3 linked regions of the Drosophila melanogaster genome follow. The protein of the gene in region 2 interacts with the protein of the main gene of each other region in a pairwise test. Each region holds a gene or a part of one and is shown on either strand. Other genes may lie near its edges.

The links. The genes of interacting proteins can lie anywhere in the genome.
Region 1: the proteins of Sf3b2 (region 2) and Spx interact in a two-hybrid assay, tested with the Drosophila melanogaster proteins (one large-scale study listed by BioGRID).
Region 3: the proteins of Sf3b2 (region 2) and CG18745 interact in a two-hybrid assay, tested with the Drosophila melanogaster proteins (one large-scale study listed by BioGRID).

Annotation. Positions count from the first base shown.
Region 1 is NC_004354.4:6,252,463-6,258,141, forward strand, and holds Spx (spliceosomal protein on the X), read left to right. Parts: upstream 1-3,359; 5' UTR 3,360-3,448; coding exon 3,449-3,482; intron 3,483-3,556; coding exon 3,557-3,640; intron 3,641-3,698; coding exon 3,699-4,624; 3' UTR 4,625-5,134; downstream 5,135-5,679. Other genes in the region: Rbcn-3A (Rabconnectin-3A), read right to left, coding at 1-101, 166-383, 2,800-2,886.
Region 2 is NT_033779.5:3,024,372-3,032,665, reverse strand, and holds Sf3b2 (splicing factor 3b subunit 2), read left to right. Parts: upstream 1-3,497; 5' UTR 3,498-3,578; coding exon 3,579-3,602; intron 3,603-3,659; coding exon 3,660-4,300; intron 4,301-4,357; coding exon 4,358-5,327; intron 5,328-5,383; coding exon 5,384-5,628; intron 5,629-5,691; coding exon 5,692-6,061; 3' UTR 6,062-6,414; downstream 6,415-8,294. Other genes in the region: CG17258 (uncharacterized protein), read left to right, coding at 1-115, 180-330; GABPI (beta4GalNAcTB pilot), read right to left, coding at 532-712, 773-1,666, 1,719-1,906; CG17219 (uncharacterized protein), read right to left, coding at 2,271-2,681, 2,734-3,246; Prp40 (pre-mRNA processing factor 40), read right to left, coding at 6,550-6,834, 6,897-6,977, 7,044-7,409, 7,475-8,294.
Region 3 is NT_033777.3:7,783,298-7,789,833, reverse strand, and holds CG18745 (uncharacterized protein), read left to right. Parts: upstream 1-3,714; 5' UTR 3,715-3,880; coding exon 3,881-3,995; intron 3,996-4,516; coding exon 4,517-4,660; intron 4,661-4,717; coding exon 4,718-4,929; intron 4,930-4,996; coding exon 4,997-5,570; intron 5,571-5,635; coding exon 5,636-5,892; 3' UTR 5,893-5,991; downstream 5,992-6,536. Other genes in the region: CG18746 (uncharacterized protein), read left to right, coding at 1-103, 167-375, 526-1,120, 1,212-1,462; CG18748 (uncharacterized protein), read left to right, coding at 1,991-2,105, 2,167-2,316, 2,382-2,590, 2,651-3,233, 3,293-3,465; CG18747 (uncharacterized protein), read left to right, coding at 6,433-6,536.

The DNA of each region.
Region 1 (5,679 bases), on a different chromosome or scaffold from region 2:
GCTGGATGTTGGTGCCGCCAGTGAGGAGGCGGGTGCCCTCCAGATTCCAGGACAGGGTCACCACGTTCGAGTGGCTGGTGAAGGAGCCCGTTTGCACCCATCTATGGGGGTATGAAAAAATAAGTTAGTATGTCTTTGGGCTTCTTAATACCATCGCTAGCTTACCTGTAATCCAGAAAGTGGGTATTGTGTTTGCTCGACTCAATCACCGGCGTGGGCTCAAAAATGCATATCTTATTCTCATAGGCTGCTGCTATTTTTCCGGTATCGGTGCTGCAGTCCAGGGCGGATATCTTGACATAGCCATGGTTGGCGCCCGGAATGATCTGGACGCGCTCGAAAGTGCTTGCCAGGATGACCACATTGCAGCCGGCGGCGTAGGCCTGATAATAGGAGGGGCGAAATGGGGATTTTGTGAGTACTGCAGTTAATCTAAGCGTTATACGATCGGTATGTGTTTTCTCAGTTATTTGTTTTTGAGTGGCTATGTGTATATAGGGCGGGTGGGTATATAGCTTTATATCGATAACAATACCCCAACTGTCCAGTTAACTGGCTTATCAGGCTGGCTGATGACAAGGCTCTTGCCACATCATGTTTGGTTACCTGGTTAGCTAAAGTGTGTTTGATTTATTTGTTGAGCTGTCGCTGATATGCTCATTATCGTGGCCAGAAATTTGAATACCCTGTTCGAGTGGGCTAGGGAGGGGGTACACTATTTATAGTGGAAACACTATTCATGTTAATTATCTCTAAAACATTACCGCATGACGATCTGTGGCAAAGGATCATTAGTGCGGGTGTAAAGGGTTGAGTCAGCAGGCTTTATCTTTATAATTGGCTCATTGATGCGGGAGATTACAGATACCCCGTTTAGTTACAATAGCGATAAATGGGGAATATCAACAGAGAATCTGTTTGCAATGGCTTATCGCGATATTGGAATGTGAGCCTTATTTAGCTAGTTAATGAATAAAAACATCATTTCATAAAAACAAGGGTATTAACAACTTCGTCACTACACACTACACACCTGCTAACTTTTTGACATAAAAAGGTTCAACTACTCTGCTTTTCTGTCGTGTTTATATTTAGCTTTTTGCTTTCCGGTTTTCCCATTGCTTTAAATGTCAGCTTATGATGGGTTTATGCGTTTAACTGAGAATATTACCCATTAAGTAAACACACCGATGATACTTTTCAATGGAGGGTTTTCCGAACTTTTCGCTTACCAACCCATTAGTGTTCCCGCGGATAAGATTACTTTATATAAAACTTTGTTACCTGCTGAAAATAAACAGTGATTTTTTTACGGTATCCTATTGTAGTATTGCTATACTATTAAAATTTGACTTTAAATGCGGTTTTAATGAGTTTATTATTTTTGGTTTCCCCTTCCAAACGCTAGGTGGCGCCAGGGGAGTGTGTTCGTGCCGATCATATACTAAATAAATATATGCATACACACATACATCCACACATATGCAAACACTCGAAATTAAACAAATTGAAATGATGGCAAATGATATGGCGCAAGGCGGTGGGCAGTGGGTGGGTGTTGGGTGGTTGGTGGTCGGTCTGTGAACGGGGGACTGTGTCAACGGCGGTGCTGATTACAGAATAGAATATAGTAGAATATAGAATATATATATAATGTACACATACGCCCCGTGGGGCCTCTCATTAGAATGGCAAAATGTGCACAGTAGTTAATTATGCTTCCTTGGGTTTTTGCAGGAAAACACAGACCTTGTTCTCTACATCGGATAAACATTCTGAGTAAACATATAGTACACATGTCTCAATGGGTGTAATGTTTATAAACTCGAAGTTGACATAGCGAAGTTTATAGTGAGCTCTTCAACTTTTTCCTGTTACCGTTAAAGGTTTTAGACACGAAAATGGCCAGATTGCTAAGAGTATTTGGTAGTATATAGTATAGGGATCGAATAAGGCACATTATAAATGCGTGCTCACGTTTTTTTATTATGGCCGTTTATAATTCCAATTTGCCATTGACGTGGGTTGGCGAAAGGGGTTGCGGGGCGGGGGGTGCTGCCATAGAGAAAGGGTTCGTGGGAAGGGGAAGGTGGGCAGCCTGCAAGCTGCGAAATTAGGGCATCAAAGGCCACCTGACCAATCGAAGGGTATACACACACACATACTCGCACTTATATATATATACATGCGTATATACTTTCAAGCACACACTCTCACTGCAACTGGCGCATGTGTGTGTGTGTGTGTGCGTGCGGCTTGTTTACTGCCAGCACTTGACCTTAAAAAAATAAAAATGTAATTAATTGCTGGCCAGGTATGTAAATGCAGGTGAAAACAAACATTGTGTTGTATTTGTTGTGCCACACAACATACACACACACACACTCGAGCTGCACACTTTGTTGTTATCGAATTTTTGCACAGCGCCAGCCAGCAAACACGAAAAGTTCTCTATCTCATCATTTGCATTTGATTTTTTAATTGACCACCAAGTGTGGCAAAAAAAAACGATATAAAATTCAACACACATTCACACACACCGCACACACGCACACCACACACACGCAAATATGTAAATAAAAACATTAAAGACGTGCTCCGATCGGTTCTTGTTGGAATGACGACGATGGTGATGATGATGCCCCGTTTCCAATTGGAAACGGTTCAACCTTTTGAACCAAGTGTGCGTGGGGGGGTTGGGGGGCGTGTCCGGCTGGTTGGGCCGATAATGGTGCACATTCCGCCACCGATTTTCACCCAATTCGATCCGGATTCGGATTGGGATGGCTCTGTGCTTACTGTAAATGGTATTCCTTCCACGGAGCCAATGGCGAAGCACCGGTCGCCTGCATTGCAAGCGCCGCTCAAAATCTGATGACAATTCATAATTTACACACAGTTGATTATCACATCACAGCGCACGGATATTGGGGTCTTGGTTCTTTGGTTTCTAGCACGAATTTTCCTTGCTTCTTGTAACAAACGACAACAAAGTGACATTACATAAAAATTAGAGTTGGGTTCTTGGCCAGCGCGGCCAATCGAACTATCGATATTAGGGATGGCACGGCATGGGAGGCGAAATATCGCCTGAGTAATTTAAATACGGTTACTCCAATTAACCGAAAAACTGTTTATCATTTAATTAAAATATTATTATTAAAATATTTCATTTTATTTTCAAAAAATAGAGGTGAATATTTTAACCTATTGAAATTATATTTAATTATTCTGCTTCGTCTATATTTAGTATTTTTTCTAATATCCGTTCGATTTGATTCGATTTCGATATCAATTTCGATTGCCAATAAAAACGAAATCGTGGAATATATATCGATTCATGGTATCGATAGGCTGTTTCGATATTCAGGGTTGTGTTGCGAGCATTTTTGCATGTTGAAAACGCCGAAAATTAGTTTTTGGTTTTGTTTATAAAAATAGCTCCGAAATGGCGGCAGGTCCAATTGCTGAACGCAACCAAGGTGGGTTTGACCTCCACTCCACATTTGCACCACTTGGGAGACGCTTTAACCCGCCTTTTCCGTTCCTTCCACAGATGCCACCATCTATGCCGGCGGTCTTGACGACAAGGTGTCGGAAACGCTGCTTTGGGAGCTGTTTGTCCAGGCAGGACCAGTGGGTAAGTCCCGGACACACATGTATAGTGCCTAGCAGCTCCCTAATCGTCATGCTTGCAGTGAACGTACACATGCCCAAGGATCGTGTCACCCAAATGCACCAGGGCTATGGATTCGTCGAGTTCCTCAGCGAGGAAGACGCCGACTATGGAATAAAGATCATGAACATGATCAAGCTTTACGGCAAGCCCATTCGCGTGAACAAGGCGTCGGCGCATCAGAAGAACCTGGACGTCGGCGCCAACATCTTCATTGGCAACCTAGACGTGGAAGTGGACGAGAAGCTGCTGTACGATACGTTCTCCGCCTTCGGCGTTATACTGCAGACGCCGAAGATCATGCGAGACCCAGAGACGGGCAAGTCTAAGAGCTTTGCGTTCATCAACTTTGCCAGCTTCGAGGCCAGCGATGCGGCCATGGACGCCATGAACGGCCAGTACCTGTGCAACCGTCCCATTTCCGTGTCCTATGCCTTCAAGAAGGATCACAAGGGCGAGCGTCACGGTTCGGCTGCGGAGCGCCTGTTGGCCGCCCAGAATCCATCGACCCATGCAGACCGGCCGCATCAATTGTTCGCCGATGCACCGGTGCAAACCATGATGCCCCAGATGCCGGGCCAGATCCCGGCCCAGATGCCGGGCCAGATGATGCCGCCACCCATGATGGCGCCGCCGCCGCCGGTGGTGCCCGTTTCGAATAACAATATGGGCATGCTAGCACCGCCGCCGCCCGTTCCCCAGCCTGCACCGTTCCCAGCTACGATACCGCCGCCTCCGTTGCCACCGATGACCGGCGGACAGCCGCCGCTGCCGCCAGCAATGGGCATTCCGCCGCCGCCTCGCATGATGCAACCAAATGCATGGGCACCGCCCGGCATGCCTGCTCCTCCGCCCAGACCACCGCCCACCAACTGGCGTCCGCCGCCCGTGCCCTTCCCACCCACGCCCTACGCACGGCCCTATCAACCCGACGGCTACCAGTACTAAGTCTAGCGTGTAGTGTATACCAATTTGGACGAGACGAGAAATAAACATCAATAGGATTCATCAATGAAGCCTGCTCTGGGATATGTTAAGATTTCCATTCTTCTTTCTAATATGCATTTAACAACCGGGAAACCACTGGGAGACATTTAGATCATCATTGTATTTCCATTTAGTAGTCGCAATACAATCTTCGAATTCTTACAAGACGAAATTAAATAACTTTGAATAGAATTTTGAAATGAACGAAATGATTTGATATAAATTGACTCTCGATTCTTGATTTTTTTTTAAACGGAACTATTTTCAATAAACATAAAACGTTTACATTAACAAGTCTGTAAGTTTAATTTGAATGGAACATACGAAGAAAGCGATAATTTTTTTTTGTAATTTAACTAAGTATTTTTAAAGGGCTCCCTCTAATTTAATGTCCAATCCTTTGAAGTTATGTATAGAAACTAGCTTGTAGTTCAAAATAAACTGAGGAATGATTTTCCATTTATTGAAATGAAACTAGGATTCTTTTTTAGCATTCCCAAAATGATGCCGTCCCGCTTTTTTTCGAAACACGTTTGTTTTTTGGTCTTGTAATTTGTTTAGCATAAATTTATTAATATGGGAAACATACAAGTACAGTATTTACAATAGTTTTGACTACTATTCATTTTTTACTCTTCGTCTATTGAATTCTTGCCTAAGCGATTTTGGTTTAGTCCCACTGTGCTAACTTCCATTTCGTTTGGTAAAATAACTTAACTTTAGCTTTACGTTTAAATGGTTATATTTAACGTTATTTTCTCCTTCGTCTCTTTGCTTTTGCTTTTGTTTTTTTTTTTTTTGGTTAAGCAAGACAAACAACAACAAAAAAAAAACTGTGAGGCATATAGTAATAGTAATAGTAATAGTAATAGTTTTAATCAATAACGATGTACAAGCGAATCGTTACGCATCAATTTTCTCGCATTTATTTAAATTTCTTTTGGTTTTCGATTTGTTTCTTTCTTTTTTGTTTACCTTAAAAAAGATGTATATATAAAAAAAAATAATAACATAAA
Region 2 (8,294 bases):
ATTGGCATGCACTGCGCTCCATGGAACACTGGTTTGCGCGGTGGCACAAGTATTCCACGCACTGCCGGATGATTGAAGACAGCAAGACTCGGCAGGCCATCTCGCACCATGAGTGGTAGGTCCCTGTAAAATAGAATTCACTGTATTATGTATCATTTTCAATTGAACCAATTTAATAGGCACCTGAAATGGAAGGTCCTGGACTGCTGGCGACGCTTGCCGCAAATCCTGAAGATCGAGAAGGAAACGGAGGAGCGACGCCAGCGGTGGCGCATGAAAATATGGGAGCTCTTGCCTGACTACAAACCGAGAGAGGACAGCTTGTGGTAGCTACTAGATAGAACATTATTACTCTTGTTCGTTGTGCGTTTTGAGTTACTTAATTATATTTATTTTAAATCAATTTTAAATTGCAATAAAGACTTCAAAGCGGTACGACTAAGTACGACTACCGAGAACAGCGTTAAGATTTGAAATACTTTAGTATCTAAGCGACATGCTTGTGCTTTTTGCTTTTTGGTGTGTGAGTAGTCACTTTAAGATGGCTCGCCAGTTGCTCCAGATTCTGTTGCGTCCTGCGGCGTTGGAGGTGCGCTTGTATTCGTGCAAGGTGGATCCCTTCCACCACAAGTAAGCCTGTCTAGCGAGTATAAAGGCTATGTAGGAAGAAATGAGCAGAGCGTAGCAAGCCACCACAAAGGAGATTCCGAGGCTAGAAACAGAGTGTGCATAAGAAACGTTAATTGGAAATAGAAACAAAGTATCTACTCACTCGAAGCCTTCGAACACCTCACTGCAGTCGTCGGGCAAAAGAACTGGATAACCAAGCGGTCGCACCACCATAAACGGATGGCAAATGGAAGTGAGGGTCAAGTTTGCGCCGAGCAGCAGAGCGATCTCCGACAGGGCCAGTCCAACAATGTACCACACGTAGTTCCGCTCGCCAATGCAGCAGTTTAGCCAGTAGCTGTGATGATCGCGCCTCTTCACGCAGGTTCCGCAGACGGGACAGTGGTATGCCCGCCTTGGAGTAACCTTCCGGCAGATCTCGCAGATATTGGGCTGACCGTGCATCAAGCCAGATCGCTCAGCAGTGTCCATATCCCCCACCTCGTCATCATCCAAACTCAGCACACTCTCCATCTGGAGTGTGGTCTGGGCCTCTGCCTGCTCCTCGCCACTCGAAGCCTCGGCGATCCCAGGCAGCTCATCCTTGGGCGTGGTTCCGTATTGAGCAGAAACAAGATTCAAGGGCGACAGTGCCTTGGCGGAATAGAGGCAGTACAAAGCGGCACAGGAGAAGAACATTAACGCGTAGTTCTCCTCCGGAGCCAGCTCCAGCAGAGGAACCTGAAACTCAAATATGATGATCATGTAGAACACCGAGAAGACCAGCCAGCTCAAAAAGAAGTTTGTCCGCGTGGCGGTCCGCTTAGCCAGCTCCATGCCCCAGATGGTGAAGCCCACCAGCGTGAGCATCAGCACTATGGCGGTCTTTGAGTTCAGAGTGGCCAATCCCAGCATGAGGGGGACAATGAAGGCGGGAGCAACGGCTGCGGGCGAGATTCGCTTGGCTCCTCCGCGCCATGGCAAGCGCAGTCTATCCTGGAAGGCGATGAGCATGCCGTCGATGTTCCTTCGATCAATGGCTCGGCAGGTGACAAGTCTGTGGTAAATTTAATTTTAATTGTAGACGGCCTTTCATTTATGTATCCTACCTTGTGCAAACTAAGTCGAAGTCCACGCAGTTACAACAGCATCCTAGGATGTGGGATCGCTCTCGACTGTCCTCAGCCACGTACTCGCAGCAGCAGAGACTCCCGTTCTCCTTACTCTTGGACTCCTCAGCCTCTGATCTCCAGGCTGCAGAAAGAAAATTGGAGGTGCCGGCTGTCATCAAGAACATCGATTTGGACAGGAAATGGCGCGGCGAACGTTTTTTAATGAGTTCCGAGCAGCGTGTACGGAAACAGTTTAGATTAGATTAGTGCACGCCCTACTGGCCGAGTGGAGAAATGTTTCAAAAGTAATTATCAGATCCGGGTGGGTCCATTTTAATTGTTTTATTGGAGTACAACGAATTTGCTTACAATTTCTCCGGAATAACGACAACTACAACAACACAGCTGACGAACGTCCCTCCCTTACAGGGTGCCCCGTGTAAAGTGGGCTGCCAACTTGTTTTATGCTACCGCTATGTTTTGAACTTAGATCTCTTATCATTATTACAAAGTTTAAGAATTGTGTTATAAATAATTCCAAAATATATTTTATTTAAATTTCAATTGCAAGATTCCTCTTTTTAAGTTTTCGTCTGCCTGCCAAACACTCTCACTTTGGAAAACATTTCCCAGCCTAATGTTCTCTGAAAACTGTTCCAGGCCGCCACCAACTCCAAAATAATGAGATTTTGCGGCAACCAAAATGACTCCATCGGATTTTAAGCGACCAGCAAAGGTATCCAAGAGCTTTTGCTGATTTGCAATATTGTATATAGTCTCAGAGGTAAGTATTAGATCGTATTTCGCCACATCCCTTGATAGTTCAGCAAAATGAGACCAATCTCCAGAATATAAGGTTGTACTGTTGTCTAAAAATTTCAGCTTTTCATCTTCAGATAAAGAGTCGTCCAAATTTAGCAGGATATTTGGATATGTTATGTATTCCAGCACATCTTTGTTCTGAAAATATATGATTGCAACCAAACTATTTCAAGACTTATTGTTTGCTTACGTAGTCCTGAAAATCCACCCGTGCGCCGTGTTTCATAGCATATATACCCAGCAATCCGCAGCCACATCCCAAATCTAGGACTCTTTTCTCCTTCCAGAATGAGTCCTCGTACTTTTCGGATAGATATAGTAGAAGATCTTCAGTGCATTCCCATATTTTAGCACCGCCCTCGTAGACACCGGAAATCAGATCTGAATGATTTTCCTCAGACTTCCTGAGATCCAGGTTTACCAAGTGGGATTGCTCCTTTAAATCCTCCAGCAGAAACCCGGCCACAAGATGTTTTATCGTCATCTTTCCCACCTCCATTTCCTTGGCGTTAAGCTCATAGAAATCCATTGCCGAAATTAGGTTATCCAGTGGTTGTACTTTCTCCGAATTGTACCAATCTATATCCTTTGTGATACCCGACTCACGTTCTTCTGAATTTTCCTGCTTGCTAAAAATATCATTTTTAACGGCCTCTGGATCTTCCGAGGATTCCGCCTTCACATCAAAATTAAATTTGAACATGCTTAGAAGGTAGGGTGTTGAACTGTTTTGATTTTAGCAGATACTGCTTGTTAAATATCGTACTGAAATGGACAAATTAGCATTGTTAAACTGGTAATCTATGAAATATTTTAATATTTACCTCCTTAAATCAGCTGTCGGCAAAAACCACGCTTTTCGTACTAAGATCGCCCTGTCCTTTGCGTTGCCAGCTTGATTTAGGGTCTCGCATTTTCATATCGAATATATCGATATGTCTCGGTGGTACAAAAATATCTTGTCGCGCATCACTAGAATTGTGGTTTATAAAAAAATTTCGGCTCGGTTTGGGTTTTTAAAGATTAATTTAATTTATGGCGGACCAGTTGAACAACGAGGTGAGTTTGCTGCGAAACCCAATCGGCAAGACATCTATTGAATGCCAATCCTTCCAGCCCGGCCAACCCACGCCGCTCATGTCCATTCGCTTCGACCAGCAGCAGCACGAAAGTGCGGCGGCCAATGGAAATGAGAACGGCAATGGTAATGCCAATGGCGACGGCGATGCCTCCGAAGATGCTGTTGATGCCGAAAAAACGCCCGGAGAACTGGTCCTGCCCAAGGCCTTGGAGGACGTTCTGGCTTTGAAGGATCAAAGGGCAGCCGAGTTCACGGTGGACGCCGATTCGCAGGGTGGCAGTGGGGGTGCTACCCAGGACGGCGACGAAGCGGATGTGGGCGAGGACAGCGAGGAGGATGCGGATAACCAGGTGAACGGGAGTGCCAGCCAAAAGACCGGCAAGCAGAGCAAGGCGGAGCGTAACAAAAAGAAGAAGAAGCGAAAGAAGCAGAACAGGAAGATACGCCACCAGATTGAGTTCGCACGGCAGCAGCAGTTGGCCCAAGCGGAGGAGAACGAACCGGAGGCCAAGGACTCGGAGACAAAAGCCCATGGCAGCGAGGACGAACAGGTTGCCGAAAAGGAAAAGAAGGACAAACGCAAAGAGAGTCGCAGCAAGCGCAGGAAGGATCGTAGTGATGAGAAAGATACGGACAAAAAGGCTGGCGAGGCCAATGATGAAAATGTGACCATTGAGTAAGTCATAGCAGCTCGTTCCGAGGAACCACACTAATAAACTCTTATCCCTTTCAGATATGTGCCCGAAAAGATAACCATTGCCGATTTGGCGCCAATGTACCGCCAGTTTTATCGTGTGTTCGAAATCTTCAAGCTGGAAAACAAACCAAAGCCTGTGGAGAAGGACAAATCTTCGCACGATTCTGAGTCCCATCCCAGGGACAAAAAGGCTACAGACAAACAGCTCGAGGACGAGGACGATGACGGCGATGATGACGAAGAGCGCAAGGAAGACAAGGAGAAGCTGTCCAAGCGGAAACTTAAGAAACTGACCCGTTTGAGTGTGGCAGAACTGAAACAACTGGTCTCTCGACCTGACGTAGTGGAGATGCACGATGTCACAGCGAGAGATCCCAAACTACTGGTTCAACTGAAAGCCTATAGGAACACAGTACAAGTGCCGCGGCATTGGTGCTTCAAGCGAAAATATCTGCAGGGCAAAAGGGGTATTGAGAAGCCTCCGTTCGATCTCCCCGCCTTCATCAAAAAGACGGGCATCATGGAGATGCGCGAATCGTTGCAGGAACGAGAGGACGCCAAGACACTCAAGGCCAAGATGCGTGAACGCGTCCGTCCCAAGATGGGCAAAATTGACATTGACTACCAGAAACTTCACGATGCCTTCTTCAAGTGGCAGACCAAGCCCCGCATGACCATTCATGGCGACCTCTACTACGAGGGCAAGGAGTTTGAGACACGCCTTAAGGAAAAGAAGCCCGGAGATCTCTCCGAGGAGTTGCGCATTGCTCTGGGAATGCCCGTGGGACCCAACTCACACAAGATTCCGCCACCATGGCTCATTGCTCAACAGCGCTACGGGCCGCCGCCCTCGTATCCGAATCTTAAAATTCCTGGCCTGAATGCTCCGATCCCAGACGGAACCTCGTTCGGTTATCATGCCGGAGGTTGGGGCAAGCCGCCAGTGGATGAGAACGGAAAACCGCTGTACGGTGACGTATTTGGAACCAACATATTGGACCTTGATGTGAGTGGCAACATTCGCGTAGCACTTCTTGTTTTAATGTCATTGTTTTTTTATAGAATGGCGTAGACGAAGCTGACATTGAACGTAACCAATGGGGCGAACTGGAATCGGAGTCAGAAGAATCATCCGAGGAGGAAGAGGAAGATGGCGAGGACTTGGGCGATCAGCAGGATGAGACTGGCCTGGTAACGCCAGTAGAGGGACTAGTAACACCCTCTGGACTCACCAGTGTTCCAGCTGGCATGGAAACCCCCGAGAACATTGAGCTTCGCAAGAAGAAAATTGAAGCCGAGATGGAGGAGTAAGTGAACTAATATTTTTAAAATAACATCACGATTAAGCCCATTATTCCAACTTCTCCTAGCAACGAAACTCCTGTTCTGTATCAAGTGCTGCCTGAGAAGCGCACCGACCGCATAGGGGCTTCCATGATGGGATCAACCCATGTCTACGACGTCAGTGGCAGTGGGGCTAACAAACAGCCCCCAGTTCGATCAACCACAGATCGCGAGGGCATTGTGGAACTGGCTCTCGATCCTAGCGAATTGGACTTGGACAATGACGCAATGGCCCAGCGTTATGAGCAACAAATGCGTGAGCAGCAGAATCACCTGCAAAAGGAGGATCTGTCAGACATGTTGGCCGAACATGTGGCGCGGCAGAAATCGAAGCGCAAGCGACAGCAAACGGATCCGGCCAAGACCACAAAGAAGTACAAGGAGTTCAAGTTTTAGTTTGACAACAAGAAATACAACTTTTCCATTTGTGCGATTGTCAAGGATGTCATTAAACATAGTAAAAACTACAATAAGTTCGCGTCATTCAATTTAAATGCGAGGATTTAAAATAGGTTCTGCAAAAAGTGAAGTTAACACAAAAGATCTTATCTTGTAATTTCTATCGTAATTTGTTTATTTTGATGCAGAATCAAAATCATTTGCGTATAACTTAAAATTTGACTCGTTAGGTTTAATTCTCATTTATACATTGAAACTTATTGAGACTAAGAAATTACAATTGTGGTTCGCTGTGTGGTTTGTGCTGGGACCAGGACAGTATCTAAACCAAACGAAGCAGAGTGCAGTGGAAGGCAAGGACTGAAAAGAGAACTTGTCCAGCAACTGAGTCCAGGGCTAGCTACCTCTCCCGATCCTCCTTAAGCTAGAGCTAGAGAGTGCCACACGATGTCGATGTCGGCTTTGACTCAACGCCTGTCAGCTGGTCACTCGTCGAGCTGCTCGCTGAGTTGGGCTAGAAGAGCCGCTCGCTTCGATTCCAGCTCGCCGTCACTTAACGTCAGCTCCTCGTTTCGCGATCCAGACGACTCGACGGACTGGGCAGGACTAAGGGGCGTGCCGGATCGATTGTGCCTGTTGTGTCGCTTGTCCTTCTTAGCTCGCTTCTCCTTCTTCTTTTTCTTTGCGGGTGAGTGCGAGTTTGAGTCGTTCTGAAGTAGAGCTTGAGTTCCCGGCGATTGAATGCCTGGAACATCCGATTCGCAGGAGGACTGAAATGTAAGCCATGTTAGATAGTATAGTTGTCCAAGGACTGGGCCGACTTGCTACGTACACCTCGCAGTTTGTTCTTGCGCTTCTTTTTCTTCTTCAGCAATTTTTCGCTCTCGATGCTGCCAATTGAGGTCAGGGAATGCTGTATGTGCGTGACGTTATTATTTAACTTACAAGTTGCATTTAATGTTATGTTTAGCATACTAACCGATCGTGTCTTGGAGCGCCTTCGCTTGGACTTCTCCACTTCTATATGCTCATTCTCGATGTCTGATCTCGAGACGGACCGTACTCGTTTTTTGTGCTTCTTGTTTTTCTTAGATTTTCGTGATCGCGAGTGATGATGGCTGCACGCATCTTCGCTTTCCTTAACAAAGTCCTCCCAGATCTTCTCCACACCGATTTCTTTTTCATAAAGGGCAAATGCTTCAAGGTGTTCTACCAGCTTCTTGGCGCTCTCATAGGGTTCGGCCACTGAGACGTTCGCCTCCAGCCATTCGTTTTTAATTTCATTTTCTAGTTTCCGCAACCTTCGCACCTCCTCTTTCATCCGTTCCTTTTCAATGGCCTCGGCCTGTAGATTATAAATACACAAATGAGTTTTATTGATATAAGGTTTTTTTCCCACTCCATAGTTACCTTTTCCAGCAGGGAGTTGTATGTGAGCTTCACATTTCCCGCGTCCAGGCTGGCTGACCGCTTATCTTCACACACGACCGTGGCAAAGTCCTCGAAGGATGTCTTCGCTTGGACAACAAATGCCTTTTCCTTGAGGATCTCCCTTATTATTTTTTTCTCATCATGGAAGCGGGCTTTCAGGTTTTCCACATAGAACTTGAAAAGATCCAGGGGTGTAGACCCGCTCTGGCCGAGCATAGCGGAGAATCGCAAATCGGCTGATATGATGGGATACAGCTCCACCCACAGCGACATGGAAGTGAGCTTTCCCTCTTCATGCAGGGAGTCGAGCAGCGCAAGAAAGGAGTCCCTGTTTTTGCGCTGCTGTCGCTTCATGCGCTTCTTTTCCCGCTCACGTTCCTCGTCCTCCTCCTTTTCCAAGGTGCGAATGTGCTCCTCGAAGACAATTAGGGCGTCCTCCTTGTCCATTCCGAGCAGAGTCACATCATTCTTAAATGCTACGTTGTCCAATAGCATAACCTGAGCCTCTGACCAGGTGGTGGCATGATTGATTGAAGTCATCGACTCTAGCAGCTCGCCCAGAACCTTCATGTTTCGTTTTTTCAGCAACCGCGCTTCTTCCTTCTCTCGCTTCGCTAAATTAAATATACAGTCCTCGTATATATCTCGCCGATCCGGTTCCGGCACCGCGGTCCATGTTCGCGTTCCGGCAAATACTTCTTCACAACGAAAATATTTCATCTGCGAGTTCATCTTATCGCTGGACATAAGGAACTGCTCCAAGTCCTCTTTTGCCTTCTTGGCTTTTAAGCGAGACTCC
Region 3 (6,536 bases), on a different chromosome or scaffold from region 2:
ACCGAACACGATCCGGATGATCAGTCGAATGGTGAATCATTCAACGGACATGTGGACTACTTGGCCACTAGGGCTTATCTGCACGGGTCTAGTTCCAGCATAGGTATGTTCGAAGATGATAAATCACCATAAATCTAGAGATAATGAAATCAAAGCTCCATTTCAGAGGTGCTTATTGAGCCTGGCACCAGCTCGTATAGATTCGCCTGTCAGTTGCCCATCACATGTCCCTCTTCTTTCGAGGGGACACTAGGTCGGATACGTTATCTGGTGAACGTGAGGTTCGTGCGTCCGTGGAAGTTCGATCTGAACTTTAATCGATGCTTCACTGTGATCAAAGTGATGGACCTGAACTCCGAAAGCCTAATGCTGAGGGTATGTTTCTTAGTCTCTCCACACACTATGGAATAGTCCACTGTACCATGTGTTGTACCAAAGACATTAGAATAATGTCTAATTCTAGTGTCTTTGGTTGTACCATGGTCAAGTATAAAATTTTATATTTTTATATTTTATAAATTTTAGGTACCTAGTCAAGTGGAGTCCCAGCGAACTTTCTGCTGTTTTCCCTGCCGCTCGTCGCCACTCAGTATGCGACTTTCTGTTCCACAGAGTGGCTTTGTGCCAGGACAGATCGTGCCGGTGGAGGTGATGGTCTCCAATGACAGTGGTGTAGCCGTGGAGGACATAACCGTAAAACTGACTATGGTGGTGATTTACTACAGTCAACCCCCGTCCGCGGACACCAACAAGGACCGTTTTGAGATGGTCCTGAAAACAGGCGGAGGTGTGTCGACCAAATGCCGGCAGCAGTTTACCTTCGATCTTAAGGTGCCGCCAACTCCGCCAACCTGCTTTAATCTATGCAGCATCATTCAGATCGGCTATCAGGTGGAAGCGGAGGCCAGAGTTAAAGGTTGTCATGGCGGCCAGTCCCTTCACATGCCCATAACTATTGGAAGTGTCCCGCTAACGAAGCAACTCCAAAAAGAACCAAGGACTTGGGGTGAAGTTCTGCCACCCCAGCAGCTAGATGCGAAGGCTTTGATTTTAATTGGCAGCGAACAGAATGGAGAAGCACTCGGAAGCCCCAATCCTTGGGCTGCGGATCCTTCAATTGGTGAGTAAAATAGGAGCTTTAAGGAAATTCATACAAAACTCCATATTCGAATTTAAAGATCATAATTCAAGGAATCACTTATTTATTTTAGCACCGCCGAGTTATGCTGAGGCTAAACACATCTCCCCGGATCCGCACAAGTTCTCGAAATCGAAGAAAAAGTCTCAGAAAAGAGGTGTAAAAGGATCACAAGAGAGGAAAGCTGAAACAATTGTGTTTTCACCCTTATACGCAGTCTTTGATTTGTCAAACCAAGTGGACGAAATGACTTTGAGAGCAAATGAACCCAAGACTGATGGCGGCTATGTCAATGAAGGTGTAGAAAAAAGCACTTGGCTTTAGAAGGGCTTAAAAATGAATGTACCCACTCTGTAAATAATTAATAAGTAATCGAAATACAACAGACATGACAATTACCCTGTGGTTGAACGCAAACTGCGGGAACTTTTCGTCGACCTCAGTGAGCAATATTTGCTGAGTTGTGCGATATCTTATCGATGAGTTAATATATTTATTTGAGTGAAATTGCTATCTTCAGATGCGAGAGCCTCAACTCATTTGGGGGCACTTGTTTTTACACCACAAATATAAGTATCAGCTGTTTTTGGACCTGATAATTCAGTTCTCATGTTAGCTGGTTACGAATGATCTATTTATTGTATAAAAAAATTGTAGGGGGTTTTTGGGTTTACCAATAAATAGATTTATGGGTGTACTGATAAGATAAATTACCAAAAGCTCTCCGTTGCACAAAATAAGTGGTAAGAAACTTTTTAGTTCAGTTTGATTGCGGCAATTGAAGGGAAAACATCTTAACAATTAACGACAGACTTAAATTCATTAAAACTTGTGCTTTAACCATAAAAAACCATGGGAATAATTTGCCAAATTCTTTTTCACAACAACACGCAAGGGGTTTTTTACGCGGGCCAAATGGTTGCTGGTCAAGTGACTCTGAGCACTGATAAGGCGATTCAAATCAAAGGTAAGTACTCAGTTGTGATTGCGATACTTCATATAATTCTCGCAACATTTTACATATTAAGCAATTCGACTTAAGCTAAAAGGTTATGCAGAGACCCATTGGACCGAAAGCAAGACTGATTCGAATAACAAGTCCACTTCAGAGTCGTACAATGGATTTGAGAAATACCTTTCCAGTAAAGTTTATCTTTTGGGTTCCGAAATTAGCCCTGGTAAAATATTGAGTGATAATTTGTTATTGAAATTGGTCAAAATTTCATTTTATGTATTCGCAAAGAAATGGCTTTGGAGCCGGGAACTAGGTCCTACAATTTTGCTTGTCCAATTCCAATCAATTGTCCCTCATCGTTCGAGGGGACTCATGGTCGTATACGTTATATGGTGGATGTCAATATCATTCAGCCGTGGAAGTACGACAGCATTTTCTCAAGAGCTTTCACCGTTATTCAAGTGATGGACATAAACACCTATAACTCTGTTTCACAGGTAAATATAACATGAAACGAAATTTTGGAGGTCTGCTATAACAATGTAATCGCTTTTAAGGTTCCCGTGCAGGCCAAGACTGAGAAAACCTTTGGGGTCTGGCCCTTCCGATCGGATCCTCTAACGCTGGAGCTGAATTTGCCGCAGACTGGCTTTGTGCCTGGTCAGACGGTACCCGCAAATGTTCTGATTGGTAACGAAAGCAAAATTCGGGTGCACGAAGTGAAGGTTGGACTATCAATGATGATCACCTACTACAGTGATCTAAGTTCAGGTTCCAAGTGCGAGCGCAAGTCCGTGGCCAAGTTAAAGGCAGATGGAGTTTTGAGGAACTCCCGGAAAATGTACGACTTCCAACTGATGATACCCTCTACTCCGCCTTCATGTTTCCATCTGTGCCGCATTATCAAGATCGGATACCAGATCGAGGTTGTGGCCAAGGTGAAGGGCATGCATATCAATGGAACTCTGATAATGCCGGTGACTATTTGTGGTGTTCCGATATCGCCGTCAGCGGTGCAATATACGCCGCAGAGCTCTGGGCCAGAGGCTCCAGAACAAAGAGCTTTGACTTTGATTGAGGGAGAGGGAGCTTTTGCTCCAGCTGCTCCCCCATATCCCTGGTCAGAAGGATCCACACTATGTAAGCTGTCCTTGTTTTAATATGTCCATATCAATTATGTAACCATACGATTTTTATAGCGCCACCGAACTACGCCGAGGCCATGCATTCCCATAGTGACTCTGAGAAACAGTCAGAGTCGGGAAATGCGCAAGAGAAGTCTTACAAGCCGTTGTATCCTGTCTTCGATTTGTCTACTTCAACTGTAGAAAAGAGCAAGGAAGCGGCTTTGGATAAAGAGGAAAAGAAATGAAGGCGGGCGAAAAAACTATTCTACATTTGAGAACCATTGGACATCCCATCCCACGCCTGCTTGTCAAGAAGTCCTTGGGATTTTTCCGGAGATATGAGGGCTATTTGCTGCTCGACTGCATTTGGCAAAATGTATAATTCAAAATTGTGACAGCGATAAGATAAAGTTTTTCTGGCCATCGCTACCAATATAGAACAACCGCAATGTTTGTTTTATTCTCAGTTGATTTCTGGCAGCCAAGTGGGCATGTGGGTGCTATCGTCGCGAAAAGCGGTTCCTTCCACTCTGTCTGGAGTTCTCGGAATTTAGGGAGTAAATAACTGAACATTGGCATTAAAATCAAATCAGTCGTGTTTGCAGCGGCATCAGAGTAGGATCGGCCCATAAATACACGATTGCGGTTACAATTACAATTATGACTGTTACCTGTGAAATTGATTTCGATAACAATCCCCATGGCACCTACTTTGGGGGCGAGGTACTCACTGGCAGAGTTACGTTGAAGCTGGACAAGATGAAGTTGGTAAAAGGTGAGGGGCAGTTGATTTGAGATACCTTTGGAATTTGACAATATGCCATGAGTCATTCTTATCTTATCGTCCAACTTAAAAGTGCGGTTGAATGTTTTTAAACGAAGATTTAGTCCGGTGACTCATATATTTATAGTGAGTAGAGAACCACACGTGCGAAATCTAATGTCTACATGAAGGTGTTTGGCGAACATACACAAATGCATCAATGATAATATTTGCGTTCGATAAGATTAAATTATTTTTAAATAATCAATGGGTTTCGCATTAATTAATATTAAATAGGGGTGGATACATATTTGACTTTTTCATATATACAACGATTGCTTTTGTAAGTTTTTATGGATATTTCATGTGAATGCATAACAGTAATTCTGTATGATTAAAAGATTTTAATTTGTCAAAACCATAATCATCGTTTAGATGACTTAAAAAACAATTAAAGAATAAATTCAATTCGTTACAGTACATTGAGCTAAAATACCTTTCTAAGAAATACCTTATCAACTTCTTCTCCGCAGCCATCACCTTGAATATAACCGGATACGCAGAGACGCGTTGGATTGAAAGGGTGACCACAAACAGAAGGAGGAGACGTCGCACATTCTGCGGCCGCGAGGATTACATAGCGTCCAAAACATTTTTGGTGGGATCCAATCTGAGCAGTACGTAAAGCTCCATTTAGGCAAGAAAGTCCATCTAATTGCTAATCATATCTGCAGGCCAAGTATCCATTGAAGCGGGAATTCACACTTACAACTTCGTGTGCCTGATTCCCACCGAATGTCCTTCGTCCTTCGAGGGATCACACGGCAGGGTGCGGTACATGGCAACCGTAACCCTCGTCAGGCCCTGGAAATTCGATCAGAGCTATACCCGATGCTTTACGGTGCTAAAAGTGATGGACTTGAACTTCGATAGTCCACTGCTAAGGGTACGAATCAAAATCAAACACGAATACATATCTGTTAGAACCTAAGCTAATTGAATATGTTATGTAGGTACCCGCCCACAGTGAAACCTCGAAGACCTACTGCTGCTGGCCTTGCCGATCAGATCCGTTGGCCCTCCAACTGACCGTTCCACAGACAGGATTTGTACCTGGCCAGAATGTTCCCCTTAGCGTGCTGGTCACAAACGATAGCCACATTCCGGTGGAGCAGCTCCTCATTAGTTTTGTGATGCTGGTGACATACCACAGTAAGCCACCTTCGATGCCCAATACCACGTCCGAGAGGTTGGTGGTAAACACCTTCAAGGGGGACGCTGTGCAAAGGAACTGCAAGAAGCTATTTAGCTATGAGATCAGAGTCCCGGCCACTCCGCCCACCTGCTTCAACCTGTGCGGCATCATCCAGATCGCCTACCAAGTGGAGGTGGAGGCCAGGGTGAAGGGTTGCCACAACAACGAGGTTGTCACCATTCCGCTGACCATTGGCAGTGTCCCTCTTGCACAACACGTACCAATCCAGCCTCGGGGTTTCGTCCCCCAGCTGAATGTTAATGAGCTGGCTGTTGAAGAAGTAGCCACTGCTCCAAACTCTTCAAGTCCATGGTCTGTCGACGCATCCATTCGTGAGTTTACTAGAATCCATAAACTAATTACAGTATCAATTTATGTTTTTTGTTGGTGTTTTTAGCTCCGCCCAACTATCAGGAGGCTGTTCACATGCGCAGCACGGCTGCAACGAGGTCAGACGACTTAGACGACCCGGAACCAGTACCGCCCAATACTCTCAGTTTGGATGGCGGTGCTTATAAGCCACTCTATCCGGTCTTCGACATACCCAGTCCCTCAGCTCCGCCGCCGACGGATTATACGCAGAATTATATGGCAGAGAGGGCCTTTGTCAATCCGGCCATGGATGTGGACAAAGACAAGGGAACGTGGCTATGAGAACGAAAATAAATACTATACTAGAAATGTAAGGGCGATAAAGCATTTGCACACAAGGCAAAAGTTCCACCTAACACTTTATAATAAACATTTTATCACAATTCCAAGACTGGTACAGGGTGGAGCGATTTTTGAAATTATTCGAAATTATATATATATTACCATATGTAGTCTAAGATTTTCAAACACGACGCTTTTCTTTCCTCTTGAAAACCCCTCGATGAATGCTGGCAATAACTTCCCCAGTGCCAAGGTCTCGACAACCAACTCTGATAACAGACCGAAAACCCCAAGTGAACGTCCGAGTAGTTCGCAAGGGAACTTATTATCGACTCTTATACAGTTTGGACTACGATTCCGTATCGTTCCCGGTGAAATCCGAATCCGACATCGGGTCCAAGTTATGGTTCTTATCGCTTATCTAACGACGCGGTCGCACCGCAAGCAGTCCAGAAGTTTTGTACTTAAATTAGTCGCAGTGAGTTGCCCCATAACATCGGTTTTAGCTTTTTCGCGCTCGGACATTTAATCTTGGGAAAAATGGTTGTTACGTGTGAGATCAGCTTCGATAATAATAAACATGGTACTTTCTACGCCGGTCAGCTGGTAAAAGGATGCGCGACCCTTAAATGTGACAGGTCCAA